Linked DNA regions of Tribolium castaneum. The protein of the gene in region 2 purifies or fractionates together with the protein of the main gene of each other region. This does not show direct contact. Links are inferred from orthologs where the notes say so. Each region holds a gene or a part of one and is shown on either strand. Other genes may lie near its edges.

Region 1 (3,318 bases), on a different chromosome or scaffold from region 2:
TTACTTAAATGTACCATTGTTAACCTATTTATTGCACGCAAGTTTAATTTTTGGCTAATATACAAATGTCAGATCGCAAATAACAGTATTTTCAAAGCTACTTTTCCAGAAATCCAGAAATGAATTTTTGAATTTTTATTTTTTTACCTTTTAATAAAAATAAAGGTGGATATTCGTGCCATTAAAAAAAATTAAGTTAGCCTTCTATTTTCAAAATAAATGACGATAGAGATTTAAAAAACCTCTCAAATGATAGAATTTAAACATTTTTAACTGTTTCCCTAATTTCAAGGTTTTCTGTTAAACCGTTCTGAAAATATTTAACTGTATCCATACTTTTTAGCGACCCTGTATAAATGTATTAATAGAGATTTTTGGGAAATAATCTCTTTAAAGAATTAGCTGAAAGCCTCAACTAAAGGAAATGAAAATTTTGAAGCTAACTATTTTTTATTTAAAGGGAAATTAAAACAAAAAAATGTAAAATGTAGTAATGTAGTATACATAAAAAGTTTAGGGGATTTACCGGAGACTAGGTAGTACTCAGTCTGAAAATAAAAATTATAAAATTACTTACATCAAGAATGGAAGTGTTTGGCTTAAATTTAATTTTTGGCACTTTGGGACCATCTGTGAGATAATCTGCGTCCATAATCTCCACTTGACCACTGAAAAAGTTGCACATTTATTACCCCTTTGACCAAAATAATAGGAAAAACGTAACAAACAATGAAAAAAAACCGGGTTTGTTTATGTAATTTGTACACGTTAAATCAATATCGTTCATTGTCGCGGAAAATAAATAATTCAGCCTGAATTTTACACTATATTTAGCAGCAAGTACAATGACATTTTCATGGAAGAATTCTCTCACCTATTTATCAAACTTTGCAGCAAGGCTGCATACTGATGTTCAGTCTCGTAATCAGAATCGTCTTCGGACCCAGATCTCGAGTTCAGATCATTTTCTTCCATTCTCCTCGAAGTGTAAGATCCCATGGAATGTAGGGGTTGAAATTTTCACTCAGGACCGTAACAACACCTCATATATGCACCATAATACGGTCATGTAACGTGGTTACTTAACCGCTTACACAAACACTAAACAAAAATCGGTGGAAAGCACTAATGAAACGCAAAATTTTCCGAAATATTTTGCCAATTAAAAATGACAATATTTTGACAAAATGCGCATCACGTTGACGCAACCACTCAGGATTGCCAAAACATCGCTAATAAATTAAAACTAATCGACTTTCATTTTCACTCTTGAATTATTGCACATATAATACGTTTTGACCCAAAATGAGTGTTACATAATAATTTGGGCTAAAGGAAACTGGTTTCGCCACTTTCTCCCTGCCTTTGGTGACTTAGCGAGCGATTTTGGCACCACTGCGCGATTGTCACGTTGACAGTTGCGTTTTCGTGGAAGTGGAGCAGTGACGTGGATTTTCAATTCTTGGTTAGTTTTCTATTTTTCTATTAATTGATAACATAAACTCGTAAGATTATTACGATTTGCAATGGCACCGTCAAAAATCAATGTAAAAGAGCGCGTTTCTGATGGAGAAATTGACCTTAGCATGTCAGATTTACAAGATGTTCCTGTTAAAGAAATCGTAACGATGTTTCCACCTTAATTATGACATAAAAACGCCCCTTTGCTTTGCAGGCAGTGTTCAAGAAGGCCACCAGCTTGGACCTATCAAACAACCACTTGAAAACTTTGCCAGTAAGCGCCAAATCGTTGCTTCGAAAAGGCACAATTTCGCCATATTTTTGCGTTCCAGGGCAACTTCGCGACACTAACCCACCTAACGAAGCTCGATCTGAGCAAGAACCAGCTGAGCGAGCTACCGGAGGATTTCGGGGATTTGGTCAAGCTTAAGTATCTTGATTTGTACCAAAACCAACTGCAATACCTGCCTCTGAGCTTCCACAAGTTCAAGGCTCTGAAGTGGTTGGATTTGAAAGATAACCCCTTGGTGCCAGCGGTCGCCAAAGTCGCAGGGCCTTGTCTGGACGCCAAACAGTGTCAGAGTTGTGCAAAGGATGTTGTGAGTTTCTTCACTCAAGTGCAGGAGCAGATCGCTAATGATTTAGAAAGTCGGCAAAAGCAACGACAGAAGCAGCTTGAAGTGAATCAGAAACAAATGGATAACAACAAGAAGAGTAAAAAGAAGGAGAAGACCAAACAGAAAAAGGAAAACGGGCCTGTTAAAGAAAACCCGCCAAAGTTAGCGAACAAAAAGAATAAAAAAGCGCCACCTTCGCCGAAGAATACTGGAAAAGCGTCCTCTTTCATTAAATTGATTTTTACGTTATTATTTCTTACTTTGTCGGTTCTGTTTGTGTTAACTTCTGTAAAATATGAACGTACGCGTACTATTGAAAATTCTTGTGTAGACTTGTATTACAAGGCTGTTGATTCTTTGTCTCCTAATTTGAAGGTTTATGCAACCACTGTGGGGAGTTATGTGAGGTTTGCTCATGACAAAACTGGGAATGTTACACTTAATGTTGTGAATTATGTTAAAAATTCCGACAATTTTGTAAATGCATATGATACCTGTAGTAAGTATGTAGATACAATGGTCCAGAAAGTTAAAGAACAGTACAAGAAGATTGTTTCTTGAAAGTTCAGACATTCTTTTTGAATAAAAACTAAAAACCAAACGTTGTTTTATTAATTCAGTAACAAAATAAGTTAAAATTCCATTACCATAACCACAGCCCTAAGAGTTTTTCCAATAATTTTTAAATTTGTAACAAATCTATTCGACGACAAAAATTAATTCAAGTTAAATTACATAACAAAATAAATAACACTTTGCCCGGTTAGTTTGTATAATAAGTAAAAATGCATCTTTTATTTCGTATTTCCATATGGAACAGACCCTTGAGTGGTGAAATAATTTACAGAAGAATCTTCCGTAACTGACAAACTTCTAAATACTAGTGTGATACGAAGAACAAACTGCAAGTTGGGAATAGACGTATCAGGGGAATTTTTCAGGATGTTCGTTGACATTTCAAAGAATTTATAAAAAAAAATGTCCTTTAAACAGTCGTTGACTAGTAATGGCATTAACCCACACGTTTGTTTTTCATTTTTCTGCAATGTTAGAAAATTAAAAAGCACAAACATATCGGTCGCTAAAAGTGCAGAGCGCACAGTTAACTATTTCATTGGGTAACATTTAAATTGGTCTATTAAAAAATCGCTAGTGAGCAGAGGGCTATAAATAGAGCAATAATCAATCCAAATAAGTAGTAAATTTACGTACATTCCACCATCCCAGCAGTGTAAGTTTT
Region 2 (3,706 bases):
TGTATACTCCCCAAAGCCAAGGGTAATCATTGGTCAAGGTAGCTAATTTTTGAATTACGCTTTCCTATGTCAAAACAAAGAAAACTATAACTAGCAGTACGAAAATACCTCTTGAATGCAGAAGTAGAGGTACCATATGTAACAACAAACCGGTATGGCGCAATAAACGAAATATAAGAACCACGGTACAGGTTTATAGTTTAACTTTTTCATAAGACGACCCCACAGTGTCCTCTTATTTAGTAAAAAATCACAAATATAATAAAATTCATTTAAATTAAACAGATACTAACCGAATCCTTGGCGATCTTTTGCTTCTTTTTTTCAAAAGTGGCGTCTGCCCAATGGTTCGCAACGGTAATATCGTCGGTAATAATAATATTGTCGAAGAAAATGTCCTTTGACATTGACCATAACTCAAATCCAACAGCGGTCTGAAAAAAGTTATTTGTCCAAAGATAAATTAATCTTGAATGAATTGCAAAAATACAATTCTTTATTTAGGTTTACAAAACATTTTTATCACAATACGAACGCAAATTCGCCAAAATAAGCATAAAAACGATTGGGTGTGGCTAAGTATATATTACTTCCTTAGTTAGCATATCTCACATAGCAACTAAATCCTTTTGTAGTGACACAAACAATTCTTTTTTGCAACATGTTTTGTTGAAGGCAACAATGCAATAATCAAATACGCAGTTTCGGTAAAAATATGGAAATTAAACAACTACAATTCTGCCAAAAACCAAAGATAATAAAAAAAAATCGCAAAAATAAATGTGTCAATTTCAAGTTGGCTCAATTTTATCAAGAGGCAATTCTTTTACCATTTTCTCACTGTCCTAGGCACTCTAAAAAAATTGCTAACAAAATTAGAAGCTCAGAATTTGTTATTTTTGTACAAAGCATATCGAAATATACTTTTCACAAATTCTGGAAACTGGAGAGGAAACTAGAGCTGACAGCCAAATTTTGACTGCAGATTTGTAAACTATGTTCTAATAGTGTACAAAATCAACTGATAAATTTGAACAAGAAGAAAAAATAATGTAAACATATCGGCACCAATAATTACAGTTACATAAACAAGATAATTTTTTAACCATTTACTTACAACAGTCTGCATTTTAAAGGGATGCTTATCTTCGAAGAACTCGGGATTGGGGATCCTCCTGGGCCTCCACTTCCCCTTATAATTAGGATTATCGATAAGCGGCGCCCTCCACTTCCCCTTATAATCGGGATTATTGATAAGTGGGGGCTCCCAAGGCCCACACCCGACAGCATCCTTACAAGCGGGATTATCAATAAGCGGTGGTTCCCACTCCCCGTCCATTTCCGAATCCCAATCTTCTGGTTTCTTTGCATCAGGATCGAAAACATGCGACGGTTCATTATCCAGCCAACCTTCCGGTTTCACCGCTGATTCATCAACAATCTGAGCCGGCGCATCCTCATCCCAATCGTCAGGTTTCACGGCATCTGGGTCAGGGATTTTCTCCCTTTCATCCCAATCCTCAGGTTTCTTGTCATTAGGATCGTCAATTTCTTTCGGAGGATTCACTGCCGGGGTGAAATCCTCAAGCAAACTTCCCGAATTGACCACTTTGTTGTCGATTAGGATCTCGAAGGTGTTGTCAGGGTGCAGGACAAGGGTGAACAAGTGGGGGAGTTTGTCGGAGAAGACTTCCTCAATGCGGTCTTTGGGTTTTTTGCAATGCTTTTCCTCGACGCTCCCGTTGAGAGGGTTGCGGTGCTTGAAGATAAAGTGGAGCTTGTGGTCGTTACCGCACTTGTCGGGGCCGAACATGATCGAGTAGGGGGTTTTATCGTGGAAGTTGTTCAAGTTTTTACTGGCGGAGTCCTGGGTGAGCAGCTTCAAGTAGGCTCCGCCACATTCTTGGCCGTCTTGGAATATTACTTCATATTGCACGATTAATGGTTTAGTATCAAAAATAAACGGTTTTAGGAGAGAGGAGGCAATAGCAGCGTGTTTAGCCTTTGATTTAAGCACTAAACCTTTGTCGCCCACTAGACTGTCTTTTTGGGTTGGTTCAAGTTGCCATTCACCGTCGTATTTTGCGATGTCTTCGGAAATCCCTTCTTTCTTCGCTTGGGATTTTATCCAACGTTTCGCAAACTGGTCTGGATCGTCGAAATGCTCGGCGAAATAGACCTTTTTCGGGTCAAGGGGGCTCGGACTTTCGTAGGGGATATCAATGTGTGATTCTTCCGGTTCTACTTCCACAGTAGCCTCGTCAGAATCGTCCACTTCGTCACATTTTACCGCCGAAAATATCAACAATAACGTGATTACTGCCGGAACGAGACTTCTAAGCATTTTGTGATCATATATTGTCCTGCAAACCAAACCGGGCACTAATTATGTGTCGTGATTACAGGATGACGAAACGGAAGCAGTATTTACTAATATAAGTCAGGGACTAATCCAATTTAAAAAATTAACCTGAAAGGTTAGTGAACGCACTTCCCAATCGATTAGTTACGAAATTACGCCAAATATCGACAAAAACGCACTCTCTTACCCAACTATCGACACGCTATTACTACAAAATGCACAAAAAAGCCGACTTCACGATGAAATAATTAAAATTCTAGAGACCGACAAAATAAAATGACATACCTAACCTCAAAATCCGGAAGTAGTTTTACACAGCACTCTTACAACACTAGCTTCAGCACCACAGTCTTAACTCAAATTGGTGTTTACTTAGGCTGTATTTCATTTATTATCAGATTATTTTTATTGTAGTTCTTGAACACCACGTAATACACCGCATTTATGAAGAGAATAAACACAAATTCGCCGACCAATCAGCGTCAAACAGATGGCAAAGTTGCGCTCAGTTCAAAAATAGGCGGGGAAAAAAAGTACAAACAGTTAAAAAATGAAAACTTTATTCACCAGTGGTACAGAAACGATCACAGTCGTACAAACCAAATAAAAAATGAGCAACAGGTGTTGGTCTTTGATTTAAAATACTGAGCTTGTTTTGGCCCTGATATAATTACAAATCTTTGGCTTTTAATTTCCTCAAAGCTGTCTCCATTCCCAACTTGCCCGCAATCACAGCATGACGTTCGATTTTATTCCAGATAGTTGCCATCATCAAAGTGTAAAACATAAAAAGGGTGATTAAAATTTTCAAAATGTGGTAAATAAAATTCAGATTGTAGCCGAAAGGTAGGTCAGTTGCAAGTGTCGTAACCAGCAACACGATTAAAACGAACGTAAAAAACCAGTACAAATATTTATGGTTATTCAAGCCCCTGAGTGCGTCATCACAGATTTCTATGCTCTCTTCAAGGACAGTTTTCTTCATGTGTTGGTCGCTTTTCAGCGACCTTATCTCGCTCTTTGTGACGATTAAAGTCGCAGCGATTGCTTCATGGTCCGAGTAACTGTACGCACATCCGGGGATTTTGTGTGGTAACGGCAATGTGTAGCTTTTTAAATCGATTTGTAAACTTGAGCCTGGATGATACATGATATAGTCGATTCTTTTGCCAGGAATGTTTTTCTTGAGTAAGGCCACGGGTGTGTAACTATTAGTGAGGCTTTCATTTGTCGCCACACAATTCTGCACCGTTTCTCCAGCTTCACCAAACGCATCTACAAGTCCCGGAACACTCAACATTATCCTGTAGGCTAAATCTCCAGGTTCGGTATTTAAGTCCCCGG

Evidence for each region.
Region 1: the proteins of calnexin (region 2) and leucine-rich repeat-containing protein 59 purify together in Homo sapiens (affinity purification with mass spectrometry; 3 studies listed by BioGRID and IntAct, with this or other methods). This does not show direct contact. The link is inferred for Tribolium castaneum from reciprocal best matches to the Homo sapiens genes CANX and LRRC59.

The regions. Positions count from the first base shown.
Region 1 is NC_087394.1:31,265,407-31,268,724, forward strand, and holds leucine-rich repeat-containing protein 59, read left to right. Parts: upstream 1-1,471; 5' UTR 1,472-1,526; coding exon 1,527-1,622; intron 1,623-1,675; coding exon 1,676-1,735; intron 1,736-1,793; coding exon 1,794-2,639; 3' UTR 2,640-2,679; downstream 2,680-3,318. Other genes in the region: DDB1- and CUL4-associated factor 11, read right to left, coding at 578-668, 875-999.
Region 2 is NC_087402.1:5,190,034-5,193,739, forward strand, and holds the start of calnexin, read right to left. Parts: upstream 2,849-3,706; 5' UTR 2,653-2,848; exon of another isoform or gene 2,648-2,652; intron 2,645-2,647; exon of another isoform or gene 2,550-2,644; intron 2,364-2,549; 5' UTR 2,345-2,363; coding exon 1,118-2,344; intron 435-1,117; coding exon 294-434; intron 65-293; coding exon 1-64. Other genes in the region: nSMase (putative neutral sphingomyelinase), read right to left, coding at 3,033-3,706. UniProt on the Homo sapiens protein: Calcium-binding protein that interacts with newly synthesized monoglucosylated glycoproteins in the endoplasmic reticulum. It may act in assisting protein assembly and/or in the retention within the ER of unassembled protein subunits.